Oryzias latipes: one gene and its partners. The main gene of each other region encodes a partner of the protein of the gene in region 2 in a complex. Links are inferred from orthologs where the notes say so. Each region holds a gene or a part of one and is shown on either strand. Other genes may lie near its edges.

Region 1 (3,876 bases), on a different chromosome or scaffold from region 2:
TTCATAAAATAACTTATAAAATAAAATAACTTATAAAGTCATACCAGTAACAGACAATAGGTCCAGAGGTACTTTTTTTTCGCACTAAACTAAAGAATTATTATAATTTGTAGTACTGTACACTAAACATTTGGCTTTAACACTCCACTACTTATCCCAAGAAAAATAATTTAAAAAAACTTAATATAAATCAGTGTTTTTGTGTTTTAGGTAATTTGCATTTTTTAAATCCCTTTTGCAGAATTTAAAGTCAGTGGCGTATCTTTTCGATGCTAAAATAAATGCCTAGGACAAAGCATATTTTGTTTGGCTTTTGTGCATTTTCAGCCATTTTCCTAGAATTGAATCCAAATATCTTCATTAGTGATCAAACTGAGAAAATCCACTCAACTCAAGTTTTAGTAAAAAAAATAAAAAAGTAAAGGTATAATTCAGGAAGTTTATTCTGTGACTCTTTGCTGCCATCTAGTGGAGCTACAGCAATACCCCATAAAAGCAGAGACTAAACCGTAATGAGTATAAATGTAAATGTGATTTAGTGAGTTAAATAAAGACCTCTCCAGATGCGTTATATTTATTACAATCCTCTAGATATTCAGGTAAAAAAGAGGAAAACAGCTACATAGTTTTCGGCAATACCCATATATTGTTGACTACACAATAATACACAATAATAGTTCAAATGTATAAACACTCTAACTCCCTTTACATGAAAAAAGCTAATGAATATTCTCTCACGCAGCTCTGTTCACTCGAAATGCTAAAAAAATTAACAGTAATAATTTTGACTTTTTTGACACATTTTGGACATATTGTATCAAATTAAGACACATTTTAAGCTGTAATGAAACAAGCAAGTAATAATAGCCACAAGCCATTAAAGAGCAACACTCTGAAGTGGCTTTGGTTGTGAAATGTTAATTCTGACAAATCTAAGATCTCAATTTAACAGCAATATACAGTAAAATAACTCCAAAATATAGTTTAAACATGTCAAAAACCGCTTAGAAGCATTGTTATCCTCAGATTTCAATTTTAGACTTGAGTAAATTAATTTACATGTCTAATTGTATTCACTAAAAGCCCCCAATAATATATAAAATGTCTAGTTTGGATCAAACTTGCCAGTGAGGGCTGAGTCCATGAGTTCATCTTCTTCGTTTCTCATGTACATCGGGCTGGACCTTGATGGCCGATCTGAACTGAGCATGGACAGAGAGGAATCTGAGGCAGAGATGGGAGACCGAGACCAACTGTCTGCTTTCATTGGGTGGGAGGACAAGCCCATGGACAGGGAAGACTTCTTCTTCTCCTTCTCCCTGTCCCGTTCTCTGTCTCTGTCCCTCTCCCGTTCCTTCTCTTTCTGCTTCTTCTTTTCCTTCTTGTGCTTCTTGTGCTTCTCCCCTGAACCCAGTGGGATGGAGCTCATGTAATCTTGTGGAGGAAGAGGACGCATCGTCTGGTCATCGTCAGAGCTGGGGCTGTTCTGATGCGACTTCTCAGCGACTGAACTGCTGCCCGATTCACTTTCGCTGTCGGGGTTGAGTGGGGTATATGCAGGGGACCGGCTATGGCTGGGCGACGAGCGGTCATGTTTGGGCGTAGATCCACTGAAAAGAGGCGAAGCTTTAAGACTAGAAATTTGTGGACGTATAGAGTCACTAGACCCTTCCCCCGCCTTCTGGAGGGTCACTTTAGCCTTAATGCTTGGTGAGCCACCATCTGGTTTGCTAATGATAATTTTGGCAAGGGTAGTTCCGCCCACACCACCTGCTTTCGAGTCCATTGTCTTCTTCTCCCCACTGTTCCCCCCAGATACGGAGACTTTAGCCTTTGCCTCCTTATCCGATTTTTCCCGTTTGTACTCCACATTCTGGGATGAGGAGGTGTGCTTGGTGGAGCCCACATTAGAAGGTCCACTAGAAACATTTCCAGAACCACCAGGAGGAGCTCCTGAACCAGCTCCTCCAACTGGTGGCCCTACATCGCAGCCATCTTCTCCAACTCCTCCTCCACCAACACTCTTCAGCTTATCAATGACTGCTGTTAGGGAGGGCTTTTTGTTTCGGCTGGGAGATTTTCCTTTTGCATTGGGGTTGTTTGAGTTGTTCTGACCAGTCCCTCCACCACTCCCTCCTGCACCTCCGCTTCCACCTCCTCCACCAACATATTGAGATTGGGAACCTCCTGAGAAACTCATGGAACCAGAGGATGAGGAGGAACTGGATGATGATGAAGATGCGGTAGAAGAGGAGCTGCCACCAATTGGTTTCTGTGAGCTTTGGCCTCCACCAGAGGAAGACTTGGACCCTCCCGAGCTGCTTCCTCCGGACCCCATAGGAGATTTAGCCTTTGAGGATGGAGGAGTTCCTGGAACCTGTGATTGCTGCATCTTCATCGGAGAGGACAGTTTGTCCCCAGAGCCACTGGAGCGGGAATGGGAAGGGGAAATATTTGGCTTTACGTTGGGGTTAATAAGAGACCCAGGAGGTTTTCCCCCTTGTGGTTTAATTTTATTTCCACTTCCAGCACCACCAGGCCCTGAAAATCCATGTTTTGTTATTGGTGATGATCCCGGTTTGCCAACACCTTGAGAGGAGCCTTTTGACTGGGACTGTCCACTTCCACCTACTGCCCCCCCGGGTTTGGAGTTGTTTCCCTGTGATAAGGAGCTTTCTTTGGACTTGATCTTTCCAGAGGAAGATGAGTGAGAGTGGTGGCTTTTGCTGCTCGTACTTCCTGTACCTCCTGAGCTGCTGGTGGCTGAGCTGCTGGAGGTGTATCCGCTATGGGAAGAGGTTTTACCTCCGGTTATAGTCCCCTTTGGGATCTGAATGGTGATTTTGGGAATTGGGGGTGTGGCCACTCCAGGAGGAGTCTGGGAGCGTCCTGAACTACCAGGAGACTTGGAGCCTCCAGCACTTAAGCTAACTCCTGAACTCAAACCACCACTAGGGGGCGTATACGGTCGCCCACCAGAACTGTGAGAGGGGGATTTTCCATCTGGATCCACCTTTTTGCGTTTGGGAGGCTTTTCTTTTGACTTTCCTTCACTGGATGGGGTTCTGCTTCGTTTGACCTGTTTCCCTTCAGTTGAGCTGGTCCCCATTCCCATTCCAGAATTGCTCCCTCCACTGGCCCCATTATCCTCCTTTGCCCGAACAAGGCCCTGTTGTTGTTTAACTTTGGGTTCAGCACTTTTAAAATCAGAACAGGCAGCTCCAAGCCCCATCATAAGGGGACTCTGGGATCCTCCTCCGTGAGTGTCTCCAAGATCAGGAGCATGCCCCAGAAGTGGTTTTCCACTACCACTGTTGCCTCCAAACACTATCCCCATATCAAAAGGATCCTTTAACGAGGGTTCTGGTGTGTTCTGTCCATGTGGAGTAGGATTCTGAGGAGTTCCAGATGGAGTATTTTGTTGACTTCCGAACCCCTTGACCATGTCCATGACTCCATCAGGACTTTCGGAGCAGTTTTCAAAGAAGTTCTGAGTGAAACTATGCTCTGGGGAAAAGTCGGGTGGGTCATGAAAGAAGGAAGAGGACGAACAATCGCTATCCTGAATGGGATCAGGTGGAGTTGGAATCAGATCAGTGTCCGTAAAGGGGTTTTCATTGCTATTGGTATTAAAAATATCTCCCGAATCAAACACTGCGCTACCTTGACCGGAGCTGGACGAGTCCCGGATGGGAGTACCTAAGGGTCCTACATCATCGCCACCACTACCCATGGGGTGCTGCCCATGGCTCTCACTGCTGCCTTTGCCTGGTTGCTCTGGTAAATCCTGCAGGATTTCAGTGATATCAGGTCCAATGCTATCAGAGCTGGAGAGTCGAACCATGCGGGGTGGAACAGTTCCTGGTGGTTGCTGAG
Region 2 (3,000 bases):
GGGGATTTATAGTTAAGTGTATTTCAGGGCAAAATATGAGCAACCATCTACAACAGTAATGTCTGAATTTGTGTGTTTTCCAGAATCAGGAGTCACAACAAATAAGTGCTGTTAAGCTTTCAGTCCACCTGTTGGTTTAGCAGCCCAACTCTCTGCGTCGGTGTTCAAATTCAACTTCATTTGCATAGCACTTCTCCTACTAAAAGGCCCTTTAAAGTACTTTACATAAATAATCAAAAATAAAAAAACAGTAGTTTGAAAATAGAAGTCTTAATAAAAAAACACACATACACATGCCACAAAAACAATCTTTACATAAAATCAAATTAAAATGCGTGGATCTGAAACAGCTACTTAAAGGCAGAGTTAAAACGATGAGTTTTCAGTTGTTTTTCTTAAAAAAGCGGATGAAGCCCTCAGCTCCTCAGGCACAGATGTTTCACCGCAGAGGCCGCTATTCAAAGGCAGTAAATTAAACACAAATACACAAAAGTCTGTTATAAAATATTTTAACATTCATCAGGAACAATCAGAAACAGAAATACTTTATTGATCCCACACGTGGGAAATTTGTTTTTTCACCATAGCCACTGACAGCAGAGGGGGAAAAAAAAGACTAAGAATAATATAAAAAAACAAGAACAAAGAATATGAACAACCAGTGAGTTATGACAAAAAGGGGACATGGATTCCCCAAAAACAAAGGTGAAGTCCAACGGGCTCACGCTGTAAAACCGCAGCGTATAAAGAACCCAATCAGAAGCAGAACTGTTAGTATTATTGTCTTTTATTGAAAGAGTTACAATATTTACAGTGGAAAACAAAAATGTTCCCTCAGACTGGTGCAGCTTCCAGTGTTAGCTGAGAGCAGCTGGGATCCTCCTCCACAGGCCTCCACACAGGCAGTTCTTGATCCAGCGCTGCTCCCACTGCTTCATAGCGTTGGTCTTGTTGGGGGAACGGAGCATCGTCACACAGCCGCATCTGAGGGAGGAGGAGCCAAACTTAGAAGCTCATTAACGGTACCTGTACTTCACATCAATGTTGTTGTGCACTCACCTGGTGCAGGCTTTACTTTCTTCAGTGGGACAAACTCCTAAAAAGACACAGCGCAGGTTGTCCATCTTCTGTGAGCCAGGACTCCTAAGCATTGCAAAAAGTAGACCATGAATATTTAGTCTTCCCAGGCAGTCTCCCATCCAAGTACTAACCAGGCGCGACTCTTCTTAGCTTCCAAGATCGGACGAGATCAGGCGTGTTAAGGGTGGTATGGCCACTCTATAAACTATTTTCCTTTAAAGTGGTTTGCTTTTCAACTATGTTTAGCAATCATAACATGGATCCTTTTAACGACATAAATTAGGATAAAGGCCCGTCTGTTCTTAAATGTAGAATTGTTTTTGAAGGGGTCCATTCTTGGTGGGTTGGGTTGTAAAGTGAACACAACTATAGAGGACATAGATTGGTGTATACATCACAACATTTCAGTGCACATACCTTTGAGATTTGAGCAGAAGCCAGATTTTATTCCAAAACCTGTGCAAGCCTTTATACAGCAGGTGATTAGATCAATACCTGGTAAGTGCTTCCAATGGGGCGCCGCCGGCTGCTCCTGGTAAGGAGGAAGCTTTCCCAAACTGCAGCTTGAGGGGGTTCTTTCCCTGCAGCTTTACAATGACGCCATCGTTCACAGGGAGCCAGTCCATGCTAGGAACCAGCAGCTGACTGGGTAGCAGGCAGCACTCATCAATGAGGCCCTCATCGGGCTCCTGGGTGGGGCCATCCTCCCGAGCTGAGACACAAAATACAGGCATAAAAATCTGCTTCCTACAGAAGGCTCCAGCTTAGGTCCCAGCTGCAGGTTGCAGTGTTGCCGTTGCCTGACATAGCAACAGTTGCATTGCAGTTCCAAAAACATTTGTATCAAGACGAGCCTTTAACAGCCAGAACAAATAACATTGATCAAACAATTCAAGATTTCTACAAAACGAGCACCACTTCATGATCAACATTTACAGGTTTCGTCTTTAGAGTGGGTAAAGAATTTGCTCCTTACAGCACAGCCACAGCTTGGTCAGCAGTCTGAACAGCAGCTGGAGGCTGTCTTGACTATCCGACATGGCGGTGAAGGTGGGCAGGCATCCTGGCTTCAGAAGACCCCATATCCTGATCATCACCAGCATCTCGCGTAACATCCCCAGCGATGCCCCGTCTCTCATGAAACCAAATCCAGGCCGAACCATGGAGCCCTACAGTTCAGGCCACACGTCGACAGGTCAATCAGAACCTGCCCAGGTGGACACCAGGTTCCACCTGACGGCAGTTGCAGTCTTTCAAAACAAATCTGTTCCTTTAGTTTCTTTTCTGTGTTCAGCTGGTTGAGTGACAGGTCATAATTCTACCGTTTAAAGATTTTACAACTAGCATGAGGTAATCCTTATGAGTCAGTGATGCCGACTTGTCTAGTTCTGGTTACTCGTAAATTATTTATATTAACTGGGAATCTGTTTTAACCAAAGGATTGTTCTTCGCTGTCAGCAATACAGCTTTAACAGAGATGCGGTAAATCTCAAGAACACAGCTGAACGAAAGAATAGAAGTAGAGAATTAAGCAACTGTTTTGTTCTCAGCATTCTACTCAGAGTCAGAGGGTCACTCTTTAAGTTTCAATTCAAGATGCTCTCTTCCATTTCTTTGCTTTAAATACAAACCCATCATTTTATTTATATTATATGTACACAAACATTTTCGGTATGTAACACACACACATTATCTATTCAGAATTAAGCCTAAAAACCTTAAAATATTTTCCAATTTGATCACAAAAATGCAACACATTGGTTCCAATTGCAAATGTTTTGATTTTTTTTTTTTTTTTGGAACAGAAGAAACCTGATACATATTCACACAGAAGTCCCACATGGGACCAGACTTATTAGCACCTTGTCAAAACTGGTAAGATATAATAATTTTTCAAGCAAGTAACGCTTCTGTTTTTAT
Region 3 (4,406 bases), on a different chromosome or scaffold from region 2:
CAGAGGAGGGGGTTTGGGTAATTTAGATTTAAATTTTAATATCAGTCTATGAACCAGATATGGTCAAATTATTACTATTGTCGAAGGAATTTCCCTTTTACTTAAAGTTTTTTTTATTAGGTATTCCTGAGTTTAACTATACTTAGAGCAGGTTTACTAAAGAGCATGTACATGTAGTGCAGGAAGTATACTAATTGAACACGTCATACTAAATTGGAACATTTTAAATTTACAGTATGTACTGTGTAGACAGTTGATAATAAGTAAACCAAAAGTATGCTGTCTCACTTTTAGTATAGATTAAGTATAAGTGCACACCTAAATAGATTACGTTTAGCTGAGTAACTTTTGCTTTCTAAATAGATTTTTGGTTAATTTGTTTTTGTACTTCTACTGAAGTAACATCACTAAAGCTTGGTCATAGGCCGTTTCATTCAACACAGTTACATTTATTATTATTATTTTGTATTGTTAAGAAAACAATATACCTTGATTTTGTTTTCAACTCTACAAATATGTGTTGAAAAGTTCCATCAAAATACTTGAACAACATTTGATCAGTTGGTGGGTCAGTACCTGAACAAATAGTTTTCTTGTCATATTGATAATTTCTTTAAAACTTTAGCTTTCCAGTGACACTTTTAGAGTATGCAGTTGTTTCTGATGTGATCCCTGCAGGTTTTCTTCAATTTCTAAAAATGTCTAATGCAAAGAAAATAGGCCAGTGCTGAATTTGATGACACTTTTAGTGGAGATGTGGACATTACGAGGAAAGGATGCACCAATAGATATATTAGAAATCAAATTTCTTGTTTGACTTCTGGTGCAAAGATTATTTGGTATCCAATCTTGAGTGATTCAATATTGTATTAAAAATAAAAAAGAAAAAAAGTTTCATTTAACATTTTTTATCAAATTTTTCCAGTAAAGATAGACAAAAAAGATTTAAAATAGGGAAAGGGTATTTCTTATTTTTACCTAAAACACGTGTGTTTAGCTAATCAAGTAAGGAGACCACTTTTAAAATTTAGTTTAGTATTGCATGTAGTCTACATAACTGGATCAGATTTGAAAGAATTTATAGTCACAGAATTGAATGTAAACGTCCAAATTAGTATTGTTGATTTCATGTTTTATTTTGAATACATGGTTTGCCCAAAACTGTAATTTTTGTTATTCAACTGTTTATAATTTATTGTTTAATCCCACACTCACAAATATAAATGGTCCATTTCAAAATCTTGTTTTAATGTTTTCATTCTTGACTTTAAAATAATCACAACAGTGGAACAAATGTAAAATATGCAGATCTTGAAGGAATGGCACATTTTTCAATTCTTTTTAACAAGATTGTAATGATTGTTGATGTGCAGGTTGTACAGTACGTGTTATGTTTACTTTCGCCTATTGTCCTGTATCTAGTTCATAACAAAGTTTTTTAAAGACAAAAAAGGTTTAAACGACACTTAACGAAAGGGAACAAAATAAGAGCTTTTCTTTGAAGCGGCGCACAATCTGAAACTTTTATTTTGAAGTGGCAGAATGAGAGGCAGCCGGAAGCGAGTGTCGCTCTTACATTCAGCCCAGAGACTGCTGTTTAGGAGGCGGAAAGCTTTGGCTGTGATGCCCTTAGATGATGGCTGCTTTCGGGATCTTAAGTTACGAACACCGGCCATTAAAGCGGCCCCGCCTCGGTCCTCCGGACGTTTATCCCCAAGATCCAAAGCAAAAAGAGGTGCAGTCAACTTTCATTCGAGCCTCTCTTGGATTGGAATTGTGTTTGTTGGAATTGTGTTTGTTGGTGGGGGAGAATTCTCTCGACAGGGAAGCTGTAGGGGGCTAACACACAGCTAGCGTTTTATAGCAGCGCTGTATAAGCGAAGGGCCTTGGAGCAACAATAAGCAGCTCCCGGCTGTCAGCTTATTAGCAGCTCCGCACTTAACTGGAAAACAAACCCCTCGTTAAATAACAGAGCTAGCTAAGCTAACAGCAGCTATGCCACTGAATATCAAACAGAAGTTTGTATTTCCGTCAAACAGAAGGGGGTTCATATCTCCGAAAGACTCGCATATTTAAATGTTTTGCTCCACAAAAATGGCGTTAACCTGTTAACTATCCTTTTTATTATTATTATTATATTTTTTTTAGGAATGTTTAATGCATCCTTATCGTAGTTTAATTTCGACTCTACCCTGTGTGATAATGGTACATTCCTTTGTTCTTATATATGTAGCAGGTATAGTTTGGGGTGTCAGTGGTAAAGCTTTATTTCTCGGCCCACCTTTTTCTGAATTCTCAGGGGAATGATCAGTTTTTGTGTTGTCAGCACAGCCAGTCGAGCACATTTCCTGCTTGCTCAGAACGCCAGTGATTGCTGAGGAATGGAGCTTTAGCACATCTTGTAGTATTGACCTCCTACATGTGTGTTTTTGTTTCAGGATGAGTTGACTGCCCTCAATGTGAAGCAGGGCTTCAACAACCAGCCAGCTGTGTCTAGTGACGAGCACGGCTCTGCCAAAAATGTCAACTTCAATCCCGCAAAGGTACCATTCATTTATTAATTATTATTGGCAGATTTTGTCCTAAATGCCAGTTAGTTTTTTTTTTTAATGCATGTGCTCATGTGTTTGCAGATCAGTTCCAACTTTAGCAGCATCATCGCAGAGAAGCTGCGCTTCAACAGTTTTCCCGATACAGGGAAACGTAAACCGCAGGTTAACCAAAAGGATAATTTCTGGCTCGTCACAGCAAGGTCGCAGAGCTCCATCAATAGCTGGTTTACAGATTTAGGTGGTACTAAACCTCTGACCCAGCTGGCTAAAAAGGTAAAAGTCCTGTGGATGAATCCTGGGATCACTGAGTATTGTTGTGTACTTTGTTTTCCTGTTTACTGTTTTTGTTCTCAGTTCACGTACGGAAATCTTCAGTTTGTTAAAGATGCACTCAGATGAAAATAGTATTTTTAACAGGTTCTTGTGGCATTTTTGTCATGATGGACATTTTTTAAGAAAATTAAGCCTAAAAGAGCATTTCTCTTTTTTAAATTGTTGTGAATGAGGAGCAGGAGAAAAAAATGCTTTTTGAAAAGAGATTGTAGTTGGACATAGAAAAATACGATGAGCCCCCTGCTCTGCTCCATTCTGATACATGCACTCACAGGCAAATAGATCCATGTACGTCTTTGTTTTCCTCGTCTGGGCTGAAATCTGGATCAAAACTGTACGGCTGGATACCGCCAATGTTGCTCGCCATTTTAGTATCGCTGCTAATTTTAGGTTGGGGGTGTGAGGAGCTGTAAGTTAAAGGGGAGCATGTAAACAGAGGAGTAACCGAAATTGGGGTGTGATCACTCCACGTCAACAGTCCTGCCCACAACTCAGAGGAGAATACTGATGAACTCCAGCTGCTCTGCAGAAACGATGTCCTAAAAAACGAGACAGGTTTTTGATTTTGGCTAAAAACAGCATAACCCTTGTGCTGTCCTATGGGGTCCAGATGACCCGATCTTTACATTGACGTGTTCTCCCTACCATTACAAAAGTGGATAAAGGTGGAAAGATTTCATGTAATCCATGGACACCAGTGAACATCACAAATCATTGAAGAAAAAAGGTTCAGAGCACTGTCTAGTGCAGAGGTGGGCACTGAGGGCCGCATTCCTGCATGTTTTCCAGCATACCCTGCTCTGGCATGTTCTGATTGGCTGGACACACCTTAACCAGGTAATCAGCCACGAGTAGGGCAAGATTATTGGCTGGACACACCTGAAGCAGGTAATCAGCCATGAGTAGGGCAAGACTATCTGGAAATCATGCAGAAACACCGGCCCTCGAGGCCTGGAATTGCCCACCCCTGGTCTAGTGGGTCTGGATGACCCAACTCCCAATGTTAAAGTGCCTAAGATAGCACAAGGGTTACGAGACCTCTGGGAACGCTTTGAAAATGGATCAAAAAAAGGTTGAAGTGGGTCTTTAAACTGTCAGTGAAAAGAAACAGAATATCTTTCACACTTTTTATAAACTAGTAGAATTAATGATATTTGTAGCAGGTACCGGATGTTAAAGTGTCTTGAGTATTTGTACCCTTACAATTCATCTCTATGATGCTCAAACTGAACTTTGACAAAAACAGCATAAATGGAACAGCAGCTTGATGTCGTCCAATAAAGAAAATCACATTGATGTCTTCTAACTCAAACACAGAAATCTAGTCAAACGGCTGCTCTATTTTGCATCATTGTAATTTACCAGACATTATTTTGTTCCATTGTTTATGAAAAAGCTGTATTTCTCAATTGATGTGTTTTCTGCTGGCCTGTACATTTATTATTACAGTCCCAGTCTGGGCCAATGTAGGCTAGCTGTGAGCATATAGGATATTTAAGCCAGGTTTATTTATAGGTAAA
Region 4 (3,876 bases), on a different chromosome or scaffold from region 2:
TCTGGAGATCATTTTTAAAATATTATATTACATTGCAAGTGGCATGCAATTATAATTTTATCACAGAAAAACATGAGCATTTTCACCATAAGAGCCTCTTCCAGCCATCTTGTGAAACTGCTGCCAGGTCAGCGGCCCCTGAACGTGCTGGATGTTTTCCCAGGTCCGACCTGTTCGCTTCTTCTGGATGGCATCCTGCAGGAAAGGCTGCAAAGATAGCAGCATACGAACCATATCCTGTGACGACAACATGCTCATATCCACCACTTTGGAAATAGCCAGACACACACACACATACATACACAGAGAAGGTTACATTAAAAATGTACAAATGGTTCTGCACACCAAAGAAACAAAACAATCACAGAACATGTAAAAACATAAAATCATTTGAACTAATAAAAAACTTTTGTCATAATAGATCAAATCTATATTCTCTACTTTTGCAGTTAAAGAATGTTTCTTACCGTTTGTGTGTGGCCAGGAATGAAGGGCACTACTTCTGACAACAGCTAGATCCACTTTTCCCCCAGTGGGGTTGTCCACATACTGCAGCCCCTGCATCAAAGCATTGTAACACTCCACACAGGCGTCACTCTCATCCGCCCACTGCTTTTCAGACATCCAACTTTGGAGGAGTGCCCCCTTGCGTCCATGACAAGAGCAGCTGAGAGGGAGGTGAAGTGATGCCAGAGAGGAAATGGGATGGGAGCACTGCTCCTGCAAAACGATCATGACTGATGGAGAGGCAGGGGTAGCCTCCTGAGGCTGCTTGGCTCTGGAGTCCCCCATGATTGGGTCCCGACGACATAAAGCCAGCCTCCTCTGGGCTGCTTGACCCACTTCAGACGTCCGACCAAATATATCCAGCTCGTCTTCCAAGAAAAGGCCCGTACCATGAGCCAGCCGCCTGTTGATGATCGCGCTGAAGCCACACATACAGCGGTACTGATCTTCACAGGTGGAATCTGGGATGTACACCCCCACATCTGCCCCTTTGACATTCATATTGCAGGCACAGATGCAGCAGCTGTCAAAGTTGCGATCCTTAAATACGCTAAGGACAGAGTCTGAGAGCAAAAGGACAACATACAGGCTGTGGGCCTCAGGCAGAGAGGGCCCAGGCCGTCCTAAGGGCTCTACAGAACTAAGGGGCAGGCTGGTGGACGGGGTAGAAACTGGTGAGCTAAGCTCAGTGCCGTCCTGCTTCACTGAGCCCTGCCCTGAGCTTGCAGCGTTAATCCCTCTGGGCGTACGGGGAGTCCGTGGGGTGGGCACGGAAAATTGGGGCATGGCAGGAGAAGGAAGGATGGTGGTGTTCACAGAGGCAGTCGTACCGCTCATCTGGCCATATTCTTGGTCAGTGAGGGCGTTGACACTAGGAATGTTTCTGGATAATTAAAATAGGGAGTCAGACCAAGAATTACACTCAAAAAATGTTTCAAGTGTCTATAAATACTCACGTGTATCCATCCTTGGAGAAAACATTCCGAGGATGCATGATGGTGGTGAAATGTTCCATTTTAGGTAAAACAGCCCAGGATGGACGGTAATAACACTGATCAGGAATCTTTGACGGTGGCAGATTCTGGCTGGGAAGGCAGGATAAAGGAGCAAACATGGAGGAACATATCTGTGGCTGGAAAGAGAGGAAAACATATGCCTGTTAACTGCAGTTTGGCACACGTCTCTCATTGCTCAAACAGCTTCGGATGAATTTCCGCTCACTTTGATATCATCTTGCCCTGGACTGGCCACACTCTCCTCCATCTCCATCCTACATTCAGCAAGCTGGAAAGAAGCCAAGGGTGGTAGGTGGTCCGCCACTCCACTGGGTACTGGGGGCTCCAGACTTGGGGTGTCACGATGCGGTGTGATGGGAGAGAAAGCCGGGTGTTGTTCTAGCGAAGGTGGGGTTGGAAACATCCGCTGGAGATCTGCAACTGCTAAAATGAGGCAGACACAAAGACATGACAAAGGAAAATGGGGTATAATGTAAAAACATATTTCAAAGTGATTGTAAAAGTAAAAAGTTTTGATCTACACATAATTTGATGTAGATAGTAAAAAAGCATATTTACTGAGCTTTTGAAAACAAAATACTTATTACTCACTTGATGGATAAGGGACATTAACTCTCCCTTCTTTGCCAGCAGGACGATCTTCTGTTGGCACGAGTAGCTTGGTCTGATTCGGGTAAACAGTCTACGGATTATTACAAAGAAAAATGAGTCCGTCTAAAGGCAAGGACATCCCATATAAAGTCCTGATACTGCTAAGAATAAATGTGTTTTACTGAATTATTAGTAGGTCTTCCAATGATGGTTAAATCTACAATTGTAAGGAATAAAAGATTGTGTCTTACGCCCAACTCTTCTTCGTCTTCATCAAATATGTTATCCAGATCAGAAATGTTGACCACCAGATCTTTTTCTCTGGTCAGAGAAGGGTTGGCTTTTGCAGCAGCATCATCTTGACCCGATTCCTCTGCAATAGACAAAAAAAACAGAGGAACAAAATAAAAAACATTGCAGAGAAGCAGCAGCCTTCTGGCTAATGGGAAAACTGTAAAGTGTGGAGTGTTGGTGCTGACATCTTTACCTGATTTTGGAGCAGAGTTAAAAATGGACATAGCATCTTTTCCATCAGGAACAGCTGATGCATCATTTGTGATCTCTTCCCCCTTTGAATTAAAGTGGAGATTGTTTAGACAACTTTTAAATAATATTCTTTTATCTGCAGTGTACCTGTAAAAACATTTTATGTACTCCAAAGTTGAACAATGATTGAGTTTAATTTGGACTGTGTGCAGTTTATTATCTAAGAAAAGATAACCACTTATTCTCTCATTAAAGAAGAAAACAAACTGGAATTCAAAACCAAGCAATGGTAATGAAAAAATAAATATCACTGAACATTTTGAATGATCTTAACAATTGAAGTCCAAACTGGATGTGAACTCATTTTGTATTTATTATCTCCTTACTTGGATGAGAAACTGTTTTTATTAGCAAATGCAGTTGGTGTACGTTTGATAACCTCACCAAGCATTAAAAATGCAAAACTTTATAAATTGTAATCCGGATTGCACCACCTCCCCTAAAGAAATAGCTCAGCTCTGCTTTGAACAGATGATCGGAACATCATGGTCCAGATCTCAGAACAGCTACTTTTTGTGCAATGTATTAAAGGAAATACATTTTAATAGTTCTATTACCAATTATTTTTATTGTTTTTAACATATTCTATTGTGCTTCCATGCTGGAGGACGGCAGATGATAAGTATCTTATAGCTAAATCATGTACAAAAGATCCCCTCTCTAGTGATAATGTTTAGTACATGGTCCCTAACAAACAAACAAACCAACAAACAAGCTCTGAGTGTGTACTATAATACCTTAGCCTTCTTGCTTGGCTCTCGCCCTGGACCCTTTAACCTTTTGGAGGAGGAGAAGGTGTATTCGATGTCTCCTTCCTTGAAGTCGTAGGGATCTTCACCATTCTCCCTCAGTACCTCCACACCCGGCTGCTCAAACAAGCCAAGTGCTTTAATGTGGTCCCTCACTCTCTCTTCAGAGATTTTAAATCTCTTGTGGGTCTGTGTATAGAGTCTGGAGGAGGCAAAGAAACATGTGTAAAACCAAAACACACATCCTCACAACTATCTGGGTTTTCTTTTACTCATGGATACTTTTCTGTGATTCCAATAACACGTAACGCAAAACCTATTTTTTTTTACATATCCTACCTTTTGAGTGGAACTGCATCTGCAGCCACCTCTAAGTTCATTTCCTCCAGGTTGTCTAAGGGAAGTTCAGGTGGACTGAATTCTGTCTTATCAGTTCTGGGAGTCCTGAAGCCTCTCCACCAGCTGAC
Region 5 (4,354 bases), on a different chromosome or scaffold from region 2:
CAGCCTTGAAATGCAGGTAGGTCAACATGCAGAGACAGGCATCAGCCCCGGAGCTGTCCGCTCAGACATGCACATGGTCACTCTACATCTCAACTCCAGCAAATGCATCTTCCTGCAAGGGTATTATTAGAAACAATCTTGTCTTTTTGCCAACATTATTATCATAACTGACAGGATGTGCATTAGTTACTTCCGCCTCTGCAGTAGCTTGGCCATGTTGACACACTAATATACAACCCCCTTTTTCCAATTTCAACATGAGCAATGAAGGACCTAAGGCAACCATAGTGCTTTCACTTGTAATAGTCCCAGCTCAAGTTCCCATGAAAAAAAGAAAGGATACTAATGGGTTAACAGTAGAAATGAAAGGGGAAGAGAGGGAAAATCAATGCTTTTGTGGAAAGGAAGAAAGAAAGGCTTTCACAGGTCTATGTATCATTAAGCAATTGAGAAAGCTAATTAGAGTGGGGTAAACGATGTGCAGATCGCACAGCTAATTATTTCCATGGCAACCAGAGCTCCTGTAGATGATGAGAGGTAGCGTTCACTTTGCTCCAATTAAGACCATCCTTGTGGAAAGAGAGACCCCTGGTGGACATTTATTATATAAAAAAATGAAATTGAAGATTTAAAAAAAAATTTTTAAAGCAATAACATAAGCCATCTGAGGCATTGCAAAATGTTTGTCAACTTAAAATATATTTAAGTATTTTCCAGCTATTTGTTACTATAATATTTTCTTTATAGTAGGCACAAAAAGTAAAAAATAAATTAAAAAAATACTCTGACAGGTCAGATTAACCACAACTGTAACAGTTTAAGCAAAGTAAATCTGTATTTCATCACATTAAAAAGCATTTAAATGGAAAGGAAAACAATAACAAAAACATTTTTTTCCATTAATGCTTAATGTCTCTGCTTGCTTGGGTCAATCTTCTCCAGATGAATCAGAGGTTTGAGCTGCTCGGCAAAGCTGCGCATGTCTTCTGACACGGTGTCCTGTCCGGCCGGAGCCAAAATGCTCAGTTCCACTAAATACGACAGCGACATTCGCTCTGTATTTTCCGTGTTCCCTGGTACTAGGATGCGTGAAACCTTGCTAACCACAACTTTCATTGCTCCTTTGCGAAATATGTGACCACTGGCCACAAACTCATGGTCCATGCGAAAGCCCATCTCATTGAGGAACTCCGGAAGGCTTTGAGAGGCAGCTACATCGACACAGTTGCGAACCAGAGCATGGCGGCTCTTGTCTCCCACTTCTGGCTGGCCTAGATACCGCAGGTGCCATGGAGAAGTAGGGTGGGAGAGGGAGCGTCTGGCACGCAGAATGAAGGGGTTGCCTTGCTGGCCTTTCAAAAGGTAAACCAGCTCGTGGTCGGTGAAAGTCTCTGGTTCCATGTTGTCACAGAGACCACGCAGGCGATGCAGGAGGCTTTCCAGAGCCTGATCCAAAACACTGCCTGAAAAAAACGAGAAAATAGAATATCCTTTAAAGACTCATATAGTAAGTTCTTTACTCCCACTATAATTATTTCCTGCTGTGATACAACTTTTTAAAAATGAATATTAAACATATAATCCTCCATCATGAAATTAAAAAATGTTCAATGTTAAAATTAGTGTTCGTTTTAGATCTCTTTTTTTTACAAACACAGTTTCAATAAACACTTCAGATGTGATGAAAACATGAATAACAGGTTTCATGAATAAAAAAATTTAAAAAAAGCTTTCCTGACTTGAGGATTATTTTTCCATAAATCTTTATGCATCTATATAATCTTAAATACTTCAGTTTACTAAATACAAATGTGTCCAGTAAAGTGCAGCACAAACAGGACAGGAAAACCTTAGAAATATATATTATTTTCAAGACAGAAAGTAACTGAGCACTCTTTCCACACTCTTGACAGTGTGGTTTGCTCTTTAATGCTACACCAACACTCATGATGGAAAAATAATTAGCTCAACTTAATAGTTTTTTTTTAAAGACTAATATTAATGGATAGAAGTTGGTTTTAGCAACAGAATGAAGATGTAAACATTATTTTTCAAATAATTTAGCCAGTGAACTTCATACTGGCTTCTAATATATGTATTCTGGAAAAATACACCGTTTTATCTGTAAATATATCAAGCCTCTATATCTCTGGTTGAACCTTCTATATCTGAATCGTCTCACCTTGTAACAGATATTCCATCATGTTGATGGCACCGCCGGTGACGGGCATAACTGTGACAGGAGGAGCTTCCATCTTCTTCCTGATTTAAAGTAATAGTGAATGATGGCATTGTCATTCACTTAGCAAAAAGTACTACACTTGAAGTTTATTTCATTGAGGACACGTGAGAATAAGTACAAGTGTACGATAGACCATGTGTATATTGTGAAAGAAGTATTAACTGACTGAAAACTTCTTCAGACTAAATTGGAACATTTTATGTTTTGAATTTAGCAATACTAGATTGTGTTTAAAAGTTTACTTCAAGTATATCGTCCCACTAGCCAATTATACATGTAGTAAACTAAATAGGCTACTTTTTGCAAAGTGTTGTTGGACTACTCTATTTCATTTGCAGTTGTTTGATGATACATGTGAGTGACATTACCAATGAATGAATGAGTAAACAGAAAACAGTTGTTAGCTAAATTAGCGAACAAATACAACTACCAATAGCAGGCTTATGCTAACTAGCAAAAGCAGTAGACGTTTCTCACTACAGAGTAAGATGGTTTACCTGAGCAGAATAAAGAGTTCGGCGCAGCGTTAGAACTGACTAAAGTTAAGATATTTTTGCTGTTTGTGGTTGGTTTCCACGGTGGGCCCCCTGTTTCACCGGTTAGCTAATATCCACACGGCTGCTAGTACCAGTTAACAGTTAGCCTACATGGAATTACCAACTCACGATTTGAGCTGTTACTGTCATCAACAAAGTAATTTAAGGCATTCGTACTTAACTTAAAAAATAAAAAAAGTGTTAATGAAATATATATTGTAACCCGTTCTAAAAACAACCAAAATTTGATGCTAATCAGAAAACAAAGGCGCCCAAGTTCTTCCTTGGCTTTTGTTTTTAAAAGGCGCTTTCAATCCAGTTTAAAGCTCGTTACTGCCACCTACTGAAACCCCGGAATATAACCATTCATGGAAGCAACTTTCTGTGTTAGCTTTTTCCGCGCAAACAGGTATTTAGGCAAATGATAAAACAATAAGTACACGTTGAATACACTTATTGAACTTAAATTTTAGCAATGTAGAAAAAGGATCAATTACAGTAACCCAAACAGGGGTTACTTTAAAAATACAATCCATAAATAACATTTTTTTAAAAATCAACTTCAAGTCATTTGATTTACAAAAACACTCACAAACCAAAACGTGCTCTAAAAATTGAAACTATTATCAGTGCAGATAAGTAACTAAATGTATTTGAAAACCTTGCACATATTTAAAAATAATAAAAATATATATGTAGATTTCATACCGAAAATGTTGTAATAGTAATTGCTGGCACATAAAAAAATAAAAGCCTAGCTCTGTGGGCCTTTTTTTTAAAACTCAGATGCTGTCTTCACAACAATTACAATATTTTTACAATTAGTTTTTGTTAAATATTTTCTTTTTAAAACATTGAATAAAACATTTAAAATTCAGACATGCTGCTATAGTTTTTGGCTGATTGAGGTTCACAAACTTTTTTAAGATTTGTGCTTAACCTTTTAAAGTAAATGACAAACATTCCATCAGATGCATATTTTACACATAAAATAATAAAGATATAAAAACTGTGTTTTGACGGATTCCGAAGCCTTTAAAGAAAAAATATTTAACAAAATTTGTGTCAGAAAAAATAATGGTTCAGAATAATTTAAAGGAACTTGTTTTCTGTTTTCAAAGCACTTGCTGACAGTATCAGGTACAGACACAAAGCAATGCTATATTTCATAAAGATAATTAGCAAGCAGTTATTCATTTTCTGACACAATGGAAAAAACCCTTCTAAGGGTTTCCATTTTGGACCTTGTAGGGTGAAGTTTACTTCAACTCACAAAACAGAATCCATGTTAAGGCAACTTCAGAACTGCTAAAATATCGCAACAATTACCTGCTCAACCTATCCAAACTGCTTTTTGTGAATTTTATTTCACTGTAAATGGTTTCATTGTGGGCTAATTCACGGCCATTGGTCTTTGCAGGGGTTCTAAAGGCAATTAAGGAATAAACAATGGAGGGTTCTTCTTCCACCTGCAAATAAAGAAATAATGATTAGTGGAAAATGATTAGTAAATGATTAGTCACTTTATGATTTGTGGAAAATGTAAAGGATTATTACTCACACTTGTCCGTCTTCT
Region 6 (4,636 bases), about 23 Mb from region 2:
CCAGGTCAGCAGAGAGCTGCAGACTGCGATAACGTTTGCTTTTAAGATAAAACTGCTTTATTGCATTTTCTGACCCTATTGCTGTCAAAGATTAACACTCCACAGTCTCTGGTAAGGTCTCACCTGAACTCTGTTCTTCGTCTGCAGAGACATTTCTCGAGCTCATCGTGTGGCTGCAAGTCTGGAGGCGGGGACCTGCTTCATCAACAATTACAACATCAGCCCAGTGGAGGTGCCATTTGGAGGGTATAAGATGTCAGGTGGGGTCTTGTAAAAAAAACAAAAAAAAACAAGAGGCTTCTTGAGGAAAAATGGTGAAACCGAGTTCTTGATCTGTGCAGGCTTTGGCAGAGAGAACGGCCAGGTGACCATCGAGTACTACTCCCAGCTGAAGACGGTGGTGGTGGAAACAGGCGATGTGGAAAACTACTTCTAGAGTTTCCGTTTTACACTCATTTCAGAGCAATAAACGAAACTGTGCAGACCTGTTGAATGTGGATGTCCTATTTGAACTTTTCTGGAGTGTCTTTTATTAACTCTTAAGTGTGTATGAACAGCTGGCATGATTCTTCAGGCTAATTTATTTTGTCACGTTGGACATTTGCTCATGCAAACATTATCTGAACTCTGATCCTGAAGTAAAAATAGCAGTTGCATATAGAGTTTACACTGCTAGAAACATTGATCCATCTTCTAAACCACCTTTATTCATGTATATAAAAAAAAAGTATGCTGGGTGTCCTAGAGCCCACCCAGCTACTGAAAGGCAAAGGTGGGATACACCCTGGGCAGTTCACCAGACCACTGCTGGGTCAAATGGTGTTAGGATTCAGTCTAAGAGACACTTTTGAGGTCTTAGGTCAGAGAGCTCTTCTCCAAGGTTGCACCAAACAATCAGGTCTCTGTTTTTATAAGGCTTGTATTTTAGTCTGATGCCTGGACCGGTGAATGTTAATAATAAAGCCGAACTAAATAGATAATGTTGATGACTCATAAACTTGAAAAGAACTGATTTTGTAATGGTTGGCCAAGATTCTGGGACATTTGGAGCTTCCACTAAAGATAACCAGAACAATATACAGCTTGTTACAGAAGACCCATGATCACACACAGAAACAAAAACACTAAACATATCATTTGTTTTTAATAAATACCAGGAAGACTAAATTGTTTCTGCTCTGAGCTTTTATCTCTGTCTCCCTGTAAGCTGCACCTTCTCTGTGCTTCCTTCACAACTGTCTGCAGGACTCATCCTCTGATTCTGCTCTCAGCTCTTCAATTTCACTTTGGTTGCTGCAATTTCTCATTTTTTTTTAGTCAACACCATCGTTGATTCTCTATTTTAAAAAAGTCAGTATAGACTGGATTAATGACTCTGACGGGACAGTTCTAGTACATTATTTTGGCCTGGAACAGAGAATTTGGACGAAAGAAAACAATATTAAAGGGTGCAAAACCCTCAGAAACAAATATTTATTGAACAATAAATAAAAAAAGAAAAGAAAAAAACAAGAGGATGGGTGGTATGGGTACCTGCTGTAGCCACAAGGGAGCACAAACACACCGTCAGATTTGACCAGAGAAGAAGAAGCATCTCTTTTTTTTGGAAAGCGCAAAGCGGAAGTACAACCTAGAAGACTTCCGGGTCGCTGACAGATCAACAATGCAAGTGAGTCTGAAATAATTTCACTCGGTTGTCTGTGATTCTTCTGACCTACTGTGGACGATACTTTGGACTGATGCTAGCTCGGGCGCTGTGTAATCTGTCCGGGCCTCTCTGCTCGTCCTTTTTGTGTTTCAGCAGCGGGAGGAGAAGCAGCTGGAGACGGCGGTGGAGTCTCTCATCTCCCGGGTGGCTCACGTTAAAAACGCCCTGAGCAGCTTCATCTACAAGCTGGAGAATGAGTACGAACGTCTGACATGGTGGGTCCTCCTGCCCTTATGACGTAACGTATCCCCCCTCCTTTGATTATGATAAATAAAAGCCTGGAAACATGCGAAGTTAACAAGTGAGTGCATATCGTGCGTGTGCATGTGTGCGCGAGCGCACTTAGACTATAAATCTTTGTTGATCCCACAAAAGGGGAAATTACCTTGTTGTTGCCATAGCTCCAATAAAACATCAGATATATATTAATAACACTAAAAATACACTTAAACAATTAACAGCAATCATTTTTGTCCAATGTCTATAAGGCATTGCAGAGTCTAATAGCTGACGGGAAGAAAGATCTGGGAAAGTGCTCCTTCCTGCAACAAGGTGTAAAGGAGCTGCTCAGTACACCCATACAAAGGATGATGATGATGATGAAGAAGAGGAGTGTCCATGATGGAGTTCAGTTTCTGTAACATTTTACTCTCACCCACCACAGTTACCGATTCTAGGAGACATCCCAGAACGTAGCCGGATCTCCGCTCCAGTTTGTTGATCCTCTTCTTGTTCCTGTTTGTGCATTCACACCTCCAGCAGCTCAAACCATAGAAGAGGGCAGACGCAACAATGCCATCATTAAAAAGAGTCCTGAAAACTCAGGAGAACCCCAGTCTCCTCAGTATCTCCTGCGATCTGGGATTGCTTCTCCAGCGGCATGTTGTTGTTGCCAAGCAACAACAGCTGACCGTGTAGACGATGTACCCACAGACCGCTTCAGACCCAGAAAGTGGGGGATAAATAGTCCAAAGGACTAGCAGGCACGCCACTGCACTTGTGTAAAAAACAACAATTCTGTCAAAAAACAGAATAATAATTAGAGAAAAAAAAAAACGAAACTAAAGAAAAACAAGCAAGCCAACACAGATCTATGGTAACTGCCAGCTTGTTGTAGCATTGGTGTCTGTATTTGCGTGCGTGTATTTGTACGTGTGCATGCGTCTTTTAGAAAGTGTTTGTGTCTCCATGTTTACCTGCAAAAGTTTTCTCACCCCCCTCTCAAATCTTTCCTGTCCCTCAGGCCATCTGTTTTGGACAACTTTGCTCTCCTCTCGGGTCAGCTGAACACCATCAACAAGCTGCTGAGGAACGAGAAGACCCCAGCTTTCCGGAGTCAGGTCATCATCCCGCTGCTCCTGTCTCCTGACCGGGATGAGGATTTAGCTGTGAGTGTCGCCGCAACATTTGCAGGCTGTCCTGTGTGGTGAAAGACCTCTAACTATCCTGTCCACCCCCACACCCCCCTCAGAAACTCACAGAGCAACGCGTCCCGGTGTTCAGTCACGAGATTGTGCCAGATCACTTGAGGACCAAGCCTGACCCCGAGGTGGAAGAGCAGGAGAAGCAGCTGAGTGCAGAGGCGGTCAGGATTGGTCCTGAGTTGGCTCAGGTCAGGAGGCGCATGGATGTTTGTTATCTGTTGTCTGTGCTCAGAAGGTGTTTAGTGTTTGTCTGTGCTAATCCACAGAAGCATATCCAGGCTCTGAACAAGCTGTGTTCCAACCTTCTGGAGAAGCTGAACAACCCTCGAGAGGACAGAGAGGGAGATGCTTCTGGTGGGTCGCTCGTTTGTGTAAATCCCTTGTTGTCCTTATTGTAGAAAGAGCTGAGTGTGTTTATCTTCCAGCAGTGCGGCAGAACAAAGCGTCCTTCAACCCCACAGACACCAGTGCCTTGGTAGCAGCTGTGGCTTTTGGGAAGGGACTCTCCAAGTGTAGACCTCCTGGCCCTGTGGCCCCTGGCCACCCAGGGCAGGGGCCCATGATGAGCGGAGGTCCAACGTTACAGCAGGTCACTATTGGTGGCGGGTCAAACCAGCAAGCAGGTATGGGAGGGCCTGGGGCCCCCCAGCAGCAAGGTCAGCCAGGTAGGAAACTGTACTGGTAAAATGTATTAAGTTTTTTGTATTGGAGACACATTTTTATTTCTTTATTTTTGTCCAGGAAAAATGCCAAGCAGCATCAAGACAAACATCAAGTCTGCATCGGGTTCCATTCACCCTTACAACCGGTGATCTCCCCCGCCCGCCTCTTTACTGCTCAGATGCAGGAACATCAGTCTGTTACTGGGTCCACCTTCACGTCCCCCTTTGAAGCTCTCTATACAGCCACTAGGTGGCAGCATGGGATCCTTTATGGCTAAATCTTAACAGCACAATGACATGTTTTCAATAAAACCCAGAAAAGCAGCTTGGTTTGTGTGGCCTTTATTATACAAGTGTCTTTCTCTTGTTTCTGCACTGAAACGACGTGAAAAAACCTGAGCTCCGCTCTTCTGAGTCTGTGTTGCAGCGCTGAGCCTGATGGGGGTGGACGTTGTGTCACAACTTTTAAGGGAGAACGCGAGGAACTATTGCTGTTGACAATGGTGGTGGTGGGGGTTTTATTCCTGTCTGAGTGTTGGCCCTCTGTCTGCTCTGATCCTGTCTGGCTGTATGACCTACATCCACCCTCCGTTCCTTAACTCAGAGTTGAACAAAGACACATTTGTGCTCACAAACAAACCTGAACAAAAGACCGATATGGGAGACACAAAGTCAGAAGTCTCCATAAAGTTACCCTTATTGTAAGTAAATTCTTAAATTTGTATTTTTTGATATACAACTCCACGTCTAATTTCCATTCATCTTTAGAACCCTGCTTTTGGAGATGTAGACATCGTCTTTATCTTTGTGACTTCAAACTAACTGCCCTATACTGAGAGAAA
Region 7 (4,516 bases), on a different chromosome or scaffold from region 2:
ACCTGTTATTCCAATCTATCAAATCTGAAAACACAAAGAACTATTTAATGCCTCCATGTTCATTTCTGCTGACTTTAAGTTCCATTACAATGAGTTGCACCTTTCTCTATCTACGTCTGTGTTTTGTGCAAAGTCCTTCACAGCTGTGAATCCCCTGAGCTACCCCCCCCCCCTTTACGGAGTGCATCGAGCGCCATCTCATATTGACCAGAGACACAGTCATGTGTAGCTTACAGTTAACAATAAAGTAAGAAAGGCTGAATTAATACTTTAAAAAAAAAAACAACTCCCAGGAAGGATCCGGGTCGTGTCTTTCACACCAAAGAGCCGACTTTAAGGTTGTTTCACTTGCTACTGACACATCAGTACACGAGTCTCTGCTCTGCTGCTCACCTGCTGCTCCTCAGGGATAACAAGACTCCTTGCAGGATCTCTTTTTGTCTTTTTCATCTTTGAGCCAGTTTGGAAAGCAAAGCGACTGCAGCAATGAGGGGATGTCTGTACTTTGACCGATCCCCCATGCTGCTATGTGCCAGTAATTCCGTCTTTTTTTATAATTAGTCTCTGTTTCATTTCAATTAACAGAGAAAAAGTCAAAGCCTGCAAAATCTAAGTAACAAAGTAACAAGGGTTTCTATAGTCCAGTAACTGTAATTCATTACAGAATATGAGCTGTAATTTGTTATGTTCTACCGTTACTGACAAAAGTAATTAAATTACAGTAATTTGTTACTTTGTAATCCATTACCCCAACACTGAGCAACATACAGAAGTGAGGATATTTATCAGTTTAAACAAACACATTTCTGTCTTTAATGAAGAAAGGTCAGGAAAAAAAAAAAAAAAAAACTAAATGAGTAAAATAGGTGAATCTGATCTTTAATGTGATACATAATATGGAAAAACATGAAAATTGGAGTAATATTTTTGGCTTTTCAGAGCTTTTTGTTCCTTCTTTTCATTGGGCAGTCATAAAAACAGGTTTTCATGGAATATTCGTGTTGAGGCCTTGCAGGGCTTCAGATTATTGAAGGATTTCAAGCCTCCAACCAAACGAACTTCCAGTTAAGGAATGTAGTTTCTGGCTTCACTTTTCAGGGAAGTTAAAGAACAAATGTTAAAGAAAAGATGAAGAGACTTACAGTTCAGGTAGTACGGATTTGCCAAACACTGCACAAACTCCAGCTCGGCCTGGAAGCGGTGCCGGGCCTGCTCATCTGGACCAGAAAAGACAGCATCACACAAAAGTAAAAAACACTGCGAATTCTGAAACAATAAGCAGTTTGGGCCTGACGACCTGCTGCAGTTATTATTATTATTATTTTTTTGCTGCTCTGATATTTCCATGATTCGTGTGTTATGCTAACACTGTAAATGAGTTTTATTTCCCCAAACACATTTCCTGTGTTAGACCAGTGGACTGGGTGATAAGTTAGAAACTATATAAGCGCGACGCAAGAACTGGTTTATTGTCAGACTACATTTTCACAAACGAGCCTCTGAGGTTCGGCTACTAAATACAACCAAACAAAAAGATGCGACCGACAAAAACGTCTGACTAAAGTAAATGTGAGTTCAACCAGTACACAATTTTACTAGCAGTGTCCTGAAAACCTTAGAGGGTCAGTCACCGCACAGTGAGTGCGGGAACAACTGTCACCAGAAATCTATGTTTTGAGTAGAACTCCTGGTTCCATGTTGGGGTGGAATCTCAGTCATTCAGGTCATGATAAAATGAAAAGTTCCAAAAGTATTCAACTGGACAAAGTTTCTGGTTTGAAGACGTTTCGCCTCTCACCCGAGCAGTTTCTTCAGTTCTGTCCAACTGGTGCTGAGCTAGAGATTTACATCCTCCTCGCTGGAGTCCTTTGATGGCCAACCAAACCCCCCAGTGACTGATTCGTTGACCCCTGTGTCCCGGTTGTGTCTATCTCTTCCTTTTCCTCACTGACGGTGCTTTCTGCCCAGAGAAACCTTTAAGAGGGCCTGACGCTTGTTTGTGTAATATTCAATAGAATGAGGGTTTTTATTTAGCGTTGTAGTAATGTGCGTTAGCAGCTGAAGGTGGGTAAAATGCCTGACTGAGGCAAACATCAAGCGTCACAGACAGATGTGGAGCAGTGGACGTCGTTTTTCAAAATAAAACCTTCATAAACACCTGATTAACAGAAAAAAGGAAGAGTGGTACCGATATGGAGCTGGAGACCACTGTCCCCGGTGAATCATTGAGTTAATGGGGTAGTTAAGGTAGTATGTCTGATAAAATCTCACATTTACAAAGTTATTCAAACCTGATAGAGCTTTATTAAACCCACGTGAACTAGTGTGTTGTCCTTATGTCGGTCTTTGGTTTATTTATTGGTTAAAGAGAGTTAGCAGTTTGCTAAAATTAGCCCAACGTTTTTGAAATTATGAATTATATGCAGTCTGAAGATCTTACTTATTCCTGCTCAAGCGACCTGTACTAGTATGTCGGGGTTTACTTTGGCTTCTTTATGAAAAATGTGTCAAGATGGACGAGCTTCATATTCTATCTTTTTAAACTTTCTCATAAATGTCATATTACTTATTTTACGGACTACAGCGAAAAAATCCCCGCGTTAATCGCCGACATTATTAATTTATTATTTACGAAAAATTTTCGGCTTGTTGTACGCACGAACTCAGGTTAATAAAAGCATCAACACAGCTTTAAGTCTTTTACAAAAGTTAGAAATACACAGTTTCTCAAATGTCAAATAAAAACACAAGAATAATGAAGACATTCATCATCCTCCCATATAGTTAGACTTAGAAGAACCAAAGCTAACAAAAATAGGTTTAGCTACAAACCTGTTTCCATGGTATCGACCCGAACAGTAACTATTTACTGTCCACAAACTGAGCAGGGCTTCCAGAAAGAGCAGAAAATCCTTATATGTGTTTAAATGTTTAACAAATCTTCAGTCCAGCTGCTTTTGTTTAGCTTTCATCAGCCGTAAGTGAACTACTCGGGCAAAACCACTTCCGACTTTGCGACACCTGCTATCTACTTTACGGCTTTTTTTCTTTTGCAACAAAACTTTGTTGTTCAGCACACGGACAACAAAAACTGAGACAGAAAATACCCAACACAAATAAAAAATACTTGTTAATCATACTTTTGGTTATATAGTGTTTGAAGTCTGAAGAAATAAACATTAAATGTCATCATGAAACAGAAATAATTTGAACAGTGAATAAAAAACGTCCATGTTTATTTGAGTCTTTGTTATTTATTGGAAAAACACAGAAATTAAATGATCAAAAAGCAGTAAACGGAAAATGTTTTGTTATTTTTCATCCAGTCTGATGTTAATGTTTTTCTCTGAACACTGAAAAATATGAGAATATGCAAAAACTTTAGGTAATCAAAATGTTTCACACTTGATTCATAGGATTTCTGATCTTGTAGTTCAGCATCTGGCCGTATGATTGCTGTATGAATGATTGTGGCGCTCCATGTATGTATGTATGATTGTGGCCCATGTGTGATTGTGGCGCTCCACAATCTTACTAGGCTGTGCTTTTCCTGCCAGCATCTTACACCCTGCAGTTATGTGCTGGATTGTTTCAGGCGCCTCTTTGCACAGCCTACACCTTGGGTCTTGTCTGGTGTGGTAGATCTGAGCCTCCATTGCTCTGGTGTTCAGGGTTTGTTCCTGGGCTGCCAGGATGAGTGCTTCAGTGCTGTCCTGTAGGCCAGCCCTTTCTAGCCATTGGTAGCACTTCTTGATATCAGCAGCTTCAGTTATGGTCCGGTTTGTCCTCCCATGAGGATTTGTCCTCTAGCACTGCATCCCTCTCCGTTGCCTGAGACATTCACTGAACACACTGTCAGTTGGGGCCTTGAGTTTGATGTATTTGTGTGCAGCAGGAAGAAAGAAATAAGAAAGTGCACTCGCTGTAGTTAAACACAGTGACGTATGCTTCAGAGGACGTTCAATTGGCTGTTCTGCATGTCAATCAAGTGACATCTTTCCTGCCGAGGATGATGATTCACTGACAGATTTTTAAAAAATATATTTTGATATTTATTTCTTATTTTTGATGACCTGCAATCTACAGTTCCATCCTTCGTGATCGACATAATGAGCACCCCTGACCTAAAGGATTTGAATGTGGACCATAAAATAACACTCTTTACATGTTTGAGTGATAAAGTTTTATTATCAACAAGTAAAAGGAGTTAGCAACAGGTTTGTAAAAAACAGGAAGATACATATGTACACAACACACACATACGTGCATACACAAACACACACACACACACACACACACACACACAAACAGGCACACCTTTGTTACTTATATTGGTTTATATAAAAACTAAAAACCTTTGTAGAGATCAGCAAAAACCTCAATAGATCTGCCGTTTTCAGATTCAAACCACTGCAACACAAGACGTCTAAAAAACCTGCTTCTCCACGTTTCTCTTAGGTAACACAGAGAGACTCTGACCCAAACTTCATTTACTGAATGTTAAATGAAGAAAACT

What was found.
Region 1: med16 (region 2) and med1 share a complex: the UniProt entries of both Homo sapiens proteins name them as parts of the mediator complex. The link is inferred for Oryzias latipes from reciprocal best matches to the Homo sapiens genes MED16 and MED1.
Region 3: med16 (region 2) and med12 share a complex: the UniProt entries of both Homo sapiens proteins name them as parts of the mediator complex. The link is inferred for Oryzias latipes from reciprocal best matches to the Homo sapiens genes MED16 and MED12.
Region 4: med16 (region 2) and med13l share a complex: the UniProt entries of both Homo sapiens proteins name them as parts of the mediator complex. The link is inferred for Oryzias latipes from reciprocal best matches to the Homo sapiens genes MED16 and MED13L.
Region 5: med16 (region 2) and med18 share a complex: the UniProt entries of both Homo sapiens proteins name them as parts of the mediator complex. The link is inferred for Oryzias latipes from reciprocal best matches to the Homo sapiens genes MED16 and MED18.
Region 6: med16 (region 2) and med8 share a complex: the UniProt entries of both Homo sapiens proteins name them as parts of the mediator complex. The link is inferred for Oryzias latipes from reciprocal best matches to the Homo sapiens genes MED16 and MED8.
Region 7: med16 (region 2) and med31 share a complex: the UniProt entries of both Homo sapiens proteins name them as parts of the mediator complex. The link is inferred for Oryzias latipes from reciprocal best matches to the Homo sapiens genes MED16 and MED31.

The regions. Positions count from the first base shown.
Region 1 is NC_019877.2:9,646,718-9,650,593, forward strand, and holds the end of med1 (mediator of RNA polymerase II transcription subunit 1), read right to left. Parts: coding exon 1,106-3,876; 3' UTR 559-1,105; downstream 1-558. UniProt on the Homo sapiens protein: Component of the Mediator complex, a coactivator involved in the regulated transcription of nearly all RNA polymerase II-dependent genes.
Region 2 is NC_019862.2:1,616,664-1,619,663, reverse strand, and holds the end of med16 (mediator of RNA polymerase II transcription subunit 16), read right to left. Parts: intron 2,250-3,000; coding exon 2,057-2,249; intron 1,793-2,056; coding exon 1,576-1,792; intron 1,144-1,575; coding exon 1,060-1,143; intron 985-1,059; coding exon 858-984; 3' UTR 774-857; downstream 1-773. UniProt on the Homo sapiens protein: Component of the Mediator complex, a coactivator involved in the regulated transcription of nearly all RNA polymerase II-dependent genes.
Region 3 is NC_019868.2:8,241,186-8,245,591, forward strand, and holds the start of med12 (mediator of RNA polymerase II transcription subunit 12), read left to right. Parts: upstream 1-1,576; 5' UTR 1,577-1,633; coding exon 1,634-1,735; intron 1,736-2,439; coding exon 2,440-2,544; intron 2,545-2,634; coding exon 2,635-2,826; intron 2,827-4,406. UniProt on the Homo sapiens protein: Component of the Mediator complex, a coactivator involved in the regulated transcription of nearly all RNA polymerase II-dependent genes.
Region 4 is NC_019870.2:12,506,408-12,510,283, reverse strand, and holds part of med13l (mediator of RNA polymerase II transcription subunit 13-like), read right to left. Parts: coding exon 3,749-3,876; intron 3,612-3,748; coding exon 3,398-3,611; intron 2,684-3,397; coding exon 2,602-2,683; intron 2,488-2,601; coding exon 2,366-2,487; intron 2,206-2,365; coding exon 2,115-2,205; intron 1,947-2,114; coding exon 1,729-1,946; intron 1,640-1,728; coding exon 1,464-1,639; intron 1,391-1,463; coding exon 468-1,390; intron 267-467; coding exon 87-266; intron 1-86. UniProt on the Homo sapiens protein: Component of the Mediator complex, a coactivator involved in the regulated transcription of nearly all RNA polymerase II-dependent genes.
Region 5 is NC_019874.2:22,763,899-22,768,252, forward strand, and holds med18 (mediator of RNA polymerase II transcription subunit 18), read right to left. Parts: upstream 3,097-4,354; 5' UTR 2,740-3,096; intron 2,263-2,739; 5' UTR 2,256-2,262; coding exon 2,183-2,255; intron 1,464-2,182; coding exon 907-1,463; 3' UTR 798-906; downstream 1-797. UniProt on the Homo sapiens protein: Component of the Mediator complex, a coactivator involved in the regulated transcription of nearly all RNA polymerase II-dependent genes.
Region 6 is NC_019862.2:24,740,699-24,745,334, forward strand, and holds med8 (mediator of RNA polymerase II transcription subunit 8), read left to right. Parts: upstream 1-1,570; 5' UTR 1,571-1,663; coding exon 1,664-1,669; intron 1,670-1,801; coding exon 1,802-1,923; intron 1,924-2,951; coding exon 2,952-3,096; intron 3,097-3,179; coding exon 3,180-3,320; intron 3,321-3,398; coding exon 3,399-3,486; intron 3,487-3,557; coding exon 3,558-3,797; intron 3,798-3,873; coding exon 3,874-3,944; 3' UTR 3,945-4,118; downstream 4,119-4,636. UniProt on the Homo sapiens protein: Component of the Mediator complex, a coactivator involved in the regulated transcription of nearly all RNA polymerase II-dependent genes.
Region 7 is NC_019872.2:23,702,489-23,707,004, reverse strand, and holds the start of med31 (mediator of RNA polymerase II transcription subunit 31), read right to left. Parts: upstream 3,026-4,516; 5' UTR 2,843-3,025; coding exon 2,833-2,842; intron 1,218-2,832; coding exon 1,143-1,217; intron 1-1,142. UniProt on the Homo sapiens protein: Component of the Mediator complex, a coactivator involved in the regulated transcription of nearly all RNA polymerase II-dependent genes.